Drosophila melanogaster: one gene and its partner. The gene in region 1 interacts genetically with each later gene. Each region holds a gene or a part of one and is shown in the gene's direction. Other genes may lie near its edges.

The links. Genes that interact genetically often act in the same process or in processes that back each other up.
Region 2: of lqf (region 1) and Chc, changing one enhances a phenotype caused by changing the other (phenotypic enhancement), as found in Drosophila melanogaster (2 studies listed by BioGRID).

Annotation. Positions count from the first base shown.
Region 1 is NT_037436.4:7,526,881-7,531,813, forward strand, and holds the start of lqf (liquid facets), read left to right. Parts: upstream 1-1,899; 5' UTR 1,900-2,306; exon of another isoform or gene 2,307-2,318; intron 2,319-4,933. Other genes in the region: ltl (larval translucida), read left to right, coding at 1-167.
Region 2 is NC_004354.4:15,832,491-15,837,396, reverse strand, and holds the start of Chc (clathrin heavy chain), read left to right. Parts: upstream 1-1,906; 5' UTR 1,907-2,110; exon of another isoform or gene 2,111-2,169; intron 2,170-2,484; exon of another isoform or gene 2,485-2,576; intron 2,577-2,642; exon of another isoform or gene 2,643-2,765; intron 2,766-3,025; 5' UTR 3,026-3,232; coding exon 3,233-3,274; intron 3,275-3,697; coding exon 3,698-3,905; intron 3,906-4,143; coding exon 4,144-4,906. UniProt on the Drosophila melanogaster protein: Clathrin is the major protein of the polyhedral coat of coated pits and vesicles.

The DNA of each region.
Region 1 (4,933 bases):
CCAATCTGGTGCAGCCTCCAGTGGGCAGTGATGCACTGACGCCGCCTCCGAGCAAGGCGAATGCGCTGGAGGAGGACTCCGAGTCGGTGCACTCTAACTCAGTGCACGCGGAGTATCCCCACGCGGCGCAGAGCCTCCAGATTCCCGAGGAACCGCCGGAGGAGTGAGTCCTCCGCCTGGGGGTTTGGCTCCTCGGGGGGAATCCCCCGAAAATAACCACATTATTTTACTGTAAATCGCAGAGGGATGGAGGCGGTGGAATCGATGGAGAGCGGACGGAGCAGCATGCAAACGGCGGAAGGAGCGAGTTTCGGATTTGTATGCCTTAAGTTAACTTAGTTCTTATGTTTTATTTAAGCCATCGCTAAATCGAACAGTTTGTCAGACCAAACGCTTTTTTGTTGAGTTTTTTCGTCGATTTTATGCAAAATTTGATACGATTACTGGGTTTTTGATGTAATCCTGCATTCGGGACAAACGTACGAGGACAGTCTTATGATTTAAGCTTATTTGTTGGGGGCTCAATTTCGCGTATGTGTGCTTTGGCGTTGGCAAGCGGAACTCTTTCGGTTTTCAATTTCACGGAATTTTAAACTATTTGCAGAAAACAATCCAAATATATAAATTATGTATTTTAAAATCTCTTAAATATCTAGAGCTGATACATTGATACATTGAAACACATCGAAATGGGTGATATATTTTCCGCTGGTTTAGTATGATCATAAAAAATAAATTGAAACAAACCGTGAAATTAAAAAACGAAAGCAAGACCGATAGAAACAGGAAGTTGGCGATATCGAATATGCAACTGCATATGCACATTATATATATTTAATAACTGTATACACGTATGAACGTTGAACATCTACAAGTAGGTACTTAGAGTTAAACGACAGCAACAACAAATCGCATCGAGCTAATGTTAATAACGAAAAGCACTCACTCACATACAAACACACAAAACCACACACACACAAACACAGCCGTAGTCGTGCACATGCACAAACTGAAAAAAATACGAATAAAAAAAAACGAGAAAATATATTGTTATCAGTTCGTTAACAAAATGAGAAAATAGATTTTAGCGTGTAATTATACGAAAATGAAAATGGTATTCTAAATAAAATCATAAATAAAAGTCGAGTTTGTTGTTCTCTTCTTAAAGAACTTGGCAATGTTCTTGCCGTTGTTTTTCATAAAATGGTTGAAACGGAAGTGCAAAGTTCCTTTTTTGTTTTTGAAAATGTTCTGTTGGCGCCATTTTGGGTAACCGCTAACGGTAGAGGTGGGAACTAAGATATTCGCAGCTCACAAAAACAAGAATCTAAAAACCAAATGATTATCTAATTTAACAATAAGAAAATATATTTAGAAGAACACAGAATTTTAAATCTTGATGTTGAAAATATCCATGCACAACTGTAAATACTTTAGAGAAGTAAAGTTATCACTTTCACGCAAGCAAATTCACCACAGTTTGGTAAGTTTGAGAATGCAAGTGATATCGATAGGTGATTTGTCACAGCTATCGATATCATCGAGTATCATGTTTAAAAATCGGGATGACAACTCAAAAATATCGGCGTTACATTTAAATTACTATGTAAACAACTTGTAGATAATTTTAACATTCTACTAATTAAAAGCTTAAATATTTATTGTACATATAGAAAAATAAAAAGAACGACGGTAGTTGATGGTCAAAGATAAATTGTTATTCCTTTATAAATTTTACATACCAAAAGCAAATGAATATAATTAAATAACAGGAATAATTTTGCTCTTCTGTGAGCTAGTATTTTTAAAATACTTATACTCCAAACTGATAAGAACCGATAGGTTCAGGAATAAATCGATATCGCGATATTTCGAGTGCCCATCAATTCTGGTCCACCACTAGTGCAAAGCGAAAAGCAGAGAAAGAAATAATAATTCGTGTTTTGTGCGCAGAGTGCAAAGGGTAAATAAGTTGCAATATCATCGCAATCGCAGTCGAGAGCCCTATAAACCCGATAGAGTGCCAGGATTTTTGGATATCCATATCGTGCGCGCAGCTATACTATTTTCCCCCTTTGTTGACGTCGCATTGTCGTCATCGTCATCTTGTGACCGTGTCTATTCGAGTCCGAAAAAAGAAAGAAAAGAAAGTCGTAAAATATAGAAAAGAAAACTAGTTGGGGAGGAGGAGTCGCACACACAGACACACACATACACAGCCGAGCGGAGCCCCCACACGCACACACACACAACCAAAGGCGAACTGCAGTGAAGCAACAAAACCAACAATAACAGAAACATTGCAGGTGAGCGAAAGAGTAAGTGGGAGGGGGCCACAAACATATTTCTGTCTCTCTTTCTCTTTGGGGCTTCTTTTTCTTAAATAATAATTTTCCGTAATTATAGATCCCCCTTGTCTAAACGTAATTCCCCGCTAACCGTTTTTTACAACATATGCTTATTGATAGCGCTTCTTTGGCTTTTGTTTTTTGTTGTTTTTTTTTTTATTTGATAACTGCCGTTAGCCGGTCGAGTGATTAGTCATAGTGGATCCAGGGTTGCCAGGGGCGTGGGTGGAAACGGGTTTATGTTTGCGAGGGGGGGCGGATGAGTAATGAATGAAGTTTCGCACATTCGTGTGCCCCCCAATCAGTGCGTCCGTGTGCGTATACGTGTGTGTGTAGGTGCGAGTAGTTCTAGTGTCACAAATGAAATCTAATCGCATTTCTGGCTCGTTATCATACGCACACAGCCACAGAAAGCACCCATGTAGCCATTAATATATTATATACAAATGATACCTAATATACGCCCGCATTTACAACAGATGCAGCAACATTGGAAAATGCAACAGTGCCAGCGGTATGGAGGAGGTGATGGGGGACGCCGAGGCGGATCGAGGAGGGGCCCGGCGATCGTGTGGCACAGTGGGCAGCATCAGCGAGCGAGCAGTGACCTTCGTCACCAGCGGCTAGCCCTTTCCACCTGTTTGAGGTGCTAATAGAAAAACATCTCAAGATAACCATAAACCAAAAGCAAACATTTCATTTGCGAAAGTAACGTAGATACCAGATAAGCAGATGTTTAACACAGACATTTTATTATTATTATGGTCTTTCGTTGTACAATCTTCAATGTTTGTTTGCAGTATTCTCTCCTTAAGTCGAAACAACCAAAATTATAATTTCCAATCCTCAGATCTTTGCGAATTCAATTCAATTTTTAAATATGTATTAAATTTTTAAGTTTTGTTAATCCCAAGATTGTAAGAGAATTGAGTTCAATCTGCAGGGTTTAAATAGAAAAGCTTTCTCGTTGTTTAATGATGAGATAAAAAGTATGTATTTAGGAATCATAGATTGTGGGGCTACTGACGGGCTTTCATCAATATTTTTCATCTTAGCGGAAACATGCTAAACGTCTGACAATAGTGCACGTCAAATAGCCTCGTGAATGTGGAATATTTTGCTCGCATTTAATTGCGTTTGGATATAACGAGAGTGATCGCAGACTGATCAGTACCACCGCGCATATCAATCGGCGAACAACGCACACGCTGCAGCTCCCCATTTCGAGTTTAGTTCGGTGTTTGGAGCGTTTGGGGAGCTTTTTCCGTCTCTTAGCTATACGAGTGTATACGTTCATTGAACCGCTGGCTGGCGTCAAGGCTCGCAGCCTTTGGAACAAAGTGATTCGCAACTCGTTGGGCATTCTGTTTGTTTTGATACCAACACAAGCGCAGCTGTATATTTTTTTGGCAATAAAACGAAGCGGTGACGTTTTGCCGAAAGTCAAGTGCACAGAAACACAAAGAAAGCTTCGTCATTGCCTCTGTCTGGCATTCAATTTGCTCAAGTTCAGACCACCACCACAACAAAAACAGACCGTCACCATCACCACCACCCACTTTTACTTGACTCTTGCACTTCATTTGCGTAGTGTTTTTTGTTTCGCCCGTCTTATACTGCGCGACATTTAATTAAATTATTTCGCCTTCCATTGGCCAAATGAAAACAAACAAACGAGGCAGACAAACGGCCCTTTTTCGCAGTGGATCGTTACTACGATCATCGGTCAATGAATTTCACTGCCCATTTACGAGTATGAGTATTCCCCCCTCATACCAATATTAACTCGATTTCTCGCATAGCTCGAATGCCTGCGGAACGGGTTTATCTGTGAGATACAGTTTTGAGGCGGGTTCTCGATGGAGTTTCCCCACAGCCGGCTCTTCTCGATATGTGTCAAGTGCGTTGTTTACACGAAAAATAAACAAAAATAAATGCAGACCCGTCGGACCGCATAAAGAACGGTGGTTATATCAGAAACTACAGCGATTCTTCAGCTACAAACTGGTTAATAAACGCCACTTAACTTAGCAGTATTTCTGAGATTTTGCTGGGGCCAGCTGGGGTTAATTGCTATCTTAACTGCCGAAAAGACAAAAATATCTTAACAAGCCTCATTATGTTATATGTTGTTATAAAAGTATTGCCCTTATTAATTGTTTTTAAAGTGATATCTAATCAAATTACTATATCTCGAAACAAGAAAGTGGTATATATTTGGATTTCTTAGTCTTATCGATAGCCTAATAAAATTTGGTATTCGCTTATCAAGAATATGTTTGCCTCTTTTATTTATTGCTCGATTATATTATTTTCAATAAATTTATCAACAATATAAAGTGTTTATAGTGAATATAGTAACACACGTACTTTGCGTTTTATCTACTTTTTTCCAAACAAAGCCGTAAAACGCGTGGTCTTACTTTGTACACATGCACGTAATTATCTTATGCTTAATCAGCTATAAATATATATGTACATATATTTGAAATTCTTAATGGTCGAGAACCACATTACTCTAAATTCTTCTCAAAGAACTTTCTTCGCTTTTGCAACAAAATCGATAACAATTTGATTAGCATTCT
Region 2 (4,906 bases), on another chromosome or scaffold:
ATGTCCTGGAAATCGTAACGAATCCACGCATTCCGACCAAGGTATCCCCGCAGCTGTCCGGCGGAATCGTGTGATCCTGTCGCCCTGCCATCGCCGGCACCACAAAGTTCGCGCCCATGTCGCGGCCGCTGTAATCCTTCGATTACATCGTTACCTCACGGCGATAATCTTGGCGGGGCTGTATTATGGCGTTAGAGTGGGCGTGGCAACATGGATCTCAACTTGGGACTCTCAACCTTCTAGCTTTTATAGTTCTCGACGTTCATACGGACAGACGGACATGACCAGATCGACTCGGCTATTTCTCCTGATCAAGAATATATATATATATATAGATTATATGGTCGGAAACGCTTCCTTCTGCCAGTTTCAACGAATCTTACCCTTACGAGTAACGGGTATAAAAAATTGGAACTTGCATTATTATTGGCTCCCACAGAGAAGGGTATATTATTTGAATGACAACAACGTTTCAATGTAAATATATATTAAAATAATCTAGGTAAACATGAAAACGAAGAAAAATAAAAACAGAATTTAGTGGTATCTTTATGTTATCAAAATGAATATGATTGACAAAGCTCAGAGTCCGCAGCATTCTGCCATTTATCCTGGGCTTCCTAGATCCCAAAACCGAGTCGTAAGAACGTCTGTATATACTGTAGAAGAAACTTATATTAATAAAAGAATTTCCCTGGGAAACGAGGAGTTTATCAGTTTACCTTATTCTGTTAGCGACGGATCCTCTCCCAATGGCCCTGGGTTGAGGAATCCTGGGCGGGTGGGACGCCTAGCAGGAATGCGGCAGACTGCGAACGGCCAAAGCATCGAGCACTGGTCAAATTCGGACAATCCAGCTGGGTTTTTTACCACTGCAATAATGAAAAACTTTCAGAAGTCCTCAAGGGATTGCTCATGGTAGAGAGTGACATCGCTTTTGCTTTTAATAAAAGAATTTCCAAATTTTTGTGCCTGCAGGACAAAAATGATTATGTGTACCTTTTCGACAACTTGCTGAGGTGCTGGACCCTTCGCCCGTTCGAAGACTACCGCAAATCTGCGAGCGGGACGCCCGCAATATTCGTCTAGCTCCTTGCCCCATCCTTTGTCATGCCCTTGATCAGTCAAGTCAAGACGGTATAGATTCTATCGCCAAAAGGTGCTTCAAAATCGGATACTGCTGCTTACCTCATAGATTAAGATTTTATTGTTGGGACTCGGTTTTCCAAATGATAAAAACAATAAAAAAAATGTTTGGAGCAAATCCTAAAGTTGTTGTTTCTGTAGCACATTGAGTGTAAATGTCAAAAATAGTATTGAAAAAGAACAAAGTTAAAATCATCGCCTACTTAAAAATAGTATTGCATAGGAACAATGTTAAAATTATCGCCTACTTATTATCCAGCACTTAAGCAAGATAATTAATGTATATATATTTTTAAAAATTAACGAAAGAGAATGCTTTAGTCCCGTTCTCCGACTATCAGATACCCGTTACGCAGATAGTGTGAGTGCAAACGTGAAATTTAATAATTTTTTCTGGGGTGTGTTCTGTTACTCTACGAGTAACGGGTATAATAACTTCACATTCCAAATTAAATTGCTATAAAAAATAGATTTCCAATTAGAGAATATATCCAATTGGATCACTCGATAACACCTGTTAACCTTACGTATGTATTATGATCTAAAAACTTGTTATCGGCAAAATATAAATGAAGCTGATAAAATAAAATAAATTTGTTGTTCCTTACAAAGTTATACTACATTTACCTAAATAATAATTACATTCGAATATTATGAATAAATACGTGTAACAGTAGGATCGTGCGATACAAATATCGATTCGAATGTTGAATGTGGTATCGATGTTTTTTCACTCCACGCAATTGCATATTTGCCGTATATATCGGCATTAATTGTATAACTTTCACACCTCTACCTTGTCTTGCAGTCAGTATTTAGTCAAACAAAAGAAAAATAAACTACATTTGTTAGAGCTTGATAAGAGCTCAGTTTGTCTTCAGTGTGTGTGCCCGTCATCTAGCAACAAACCGACGTGATTATTTCGAGTATGATAGTACTTAGCGTACATTTTTGTTAAATTGCAGTAAGCATACGGGCTCCAAATATCTTTCGATTCATTGGGAAAAAATGTAAAGTGCTAAAGTGCGTGTGTGTGTTCGCTTGCAAATGCAATATATACATACAAATTTTGTTTATTTGATGTAAAAGCATCCGATTAATTTACCGTTTATCTAATTATGTTCTTGTTTATGTGGCATATTGCGGCACTGCAAGTGTGCGCGCTCATCTGTGAGTGTGTGTGCGCGAGTGCTGCTGTGTGCGTGTGAATTGGGAATTACCGCTACTCAATTTGATGTATATACACCGAATTTCGTCAATTTCATGGCATTGTCCCATTGTTATCAGGCGCAAAACAGTGATATTTAAATGCGATTTTCGATTTTCATGCACACACAGGGGGAGGGAAAACAAGAGCAAAATTGCTGTACATGTATTAGTCAGTGACTAATTGTTCAAAGCGCAACTCAACATGGCTGACTTTTTCTGTGGTGAGCAGCGATTTTTGATGATAATGCTGCCTCTTTTCTTTTCAAATTCTCTCTCTTGATTCGCTCTCACTCTCTCTCTCTCTCCCTCGCTCACCTCAAATAAAATAAAGTGCTGGTAATTTTCCCGTCGTAACGGCAAGTGCAAAAACGCAAGAAAACGAATAAAAATACCGATACAAAGGATTAATCGTAGGAAATAATTTCGTCTATATATTTTCTTGCACAAAAGCGATTGGGGATACAATAAGAGACTCGGTGTTTTATTTTAAGGGCGTTTACATCCATATGTACATACATATAGGCCTTTATCTTTCATTTTTTCATCCGGTGACGCTGTCACTTTCTATCAACAATAAAATAACGCCCACAATTTGATTTTTCCTCATTCTTGCCGCATCAGTGCTGTCCATAACTACATGTTTTTCCAAAATCTTTTGTCTTTCGTGCAGCTAAACGTTCCAATGGAAACCGAATCTTAAACCAGAAACCGACTAAACTCGAACGCAATTAAACAACAATAAATCCTCGAAACAAATCAAATACAAACTGTTACCAAGTGTGCAATTCAAGAAAACATCGTATTGGCATTGTTTTCGCAAAGATACATTTACGTTGTAAAGGTCTGTCAATAACTAGACCTCACTGTAGTAGTAAAGATGACGCAACCACTGCCCATCCGCTTTCAGGAGCATTTACAGGTGAGTAATATTAAATATTTTGGATCTACCATCATTACATATCCACATACGTACAACCCACCAATATGCCACGATTACCTACGATTATATCCGATTCATAAGCTCCCCACTTTTCTTATGAAAATTTCACGGTTTCCAGCTCTAATTCAACGTGTAAACAGAAAATATGGGGGCTTAGGTCGAGTTTCTACTTTGCTATACCTTCTATTCAAGTCTGTATACAGTGTATTTTCTATAGAACTAGTTATAATACAAATTTACATCTAAACTTAAGCAAAGTATTGCGAATATTTAATAGTAAATGTGGGTCAATCCAGGCCAGTTCAATAATTAATAATGAATGATTATATTGTGTAATGAGTGCGTATGCTATGATTTTCGATTTATCAATTAACACACATTTTCAATCTCCACTACGGACAGCTCACAAATGTCGGGATCAACGCCAATTCATTTTCATTCAGCACGCTCACGATGGAATCGGATAAGTTTATTTGCGTGCGGGAGAAGGTGAATGATACCGCCCAAGTGGTCATCATTGACATGAACGATGCCACCAATCCCACGCGGCGTCCCATCTCAGCGGATTCGGCTATCATGAATCCAGCTAGCAAGGTCATTGCGCTCAAAGGTAACTGAAACCGATGGTCCAGTCGATCAGAATGTCCGAAGAGGATCAGATTTTAGCTTAAAGTAACGTAGGCTTAGTAAACAGGTCCGCTTGTTATTACAACGTGTCTAGAAAACTTAAAACCTCACTTAAACTTTAACTTGAATATCAAATAGTAAGGAAAGAGATCAAAGTTTTTTTCCGGTCGACTGGGATAATGCATTTTTGAACATGTATAACTTTAGAATATTTCTTTTAGCGCAAAAGACGTTGCAGATCTTCAACATTGAGATGAAGTCGAAGATGAAGGCGCATACCATGAACGAGGATGTGGTGTTCTGGAAGTGGATCTCCCTCAATACGCTAGCTCTGGTCACAGAAACGAGTGTGTTCCATTGGTCCATGGAGGGCGATTCGATGCCGCAAAAGATGTTTGACCGGCATTCATCGCTGAACGGTTGTCAAATCATCAACTACCGCTGCAATGCCTCCCAGCAGTGGCTACTCTTGGTCGGCATTTCGGCACTGCCAAGTCGCGTTGCCGGTGCCATGCAGTTGTATTCGGTGGAGCGTAAGGTGTCCCAGGCGATCGAGGGGCATGCGGCCAGTTTTGCCACGTTTAAAATCGATGCCAACAAGGAGCCGACCACGCTGTTCTGCTTTGCAGTTCGTACGGCCACTGGGGGCAAGCTTCATATTATCGAAGTTGGTGCTCCGCCGAACGGCAATCAGCCGTTTGCCAAGAAGGCTGTCGATGTCTTCTTTCCGCCGGAAGCACAAAATGATTTCCCTGTGGCTATGCAAGTCTCTGCCAAGTACGACACCATCTACTTGATAACCAAGTATGGATACATACATCTGTATGACATGGAGACGGCCACGTGCATATACATGAATCGTATATCGGCCGATACGATCTTTGTTACCGCACCGCATGAGGCAAGTGGTGGCATCATTGGCGTCAATCGCAAGGGACAGGTCCTCTCCGTGACCGTCGACGAGGAGCAGATCATTCCCTACAT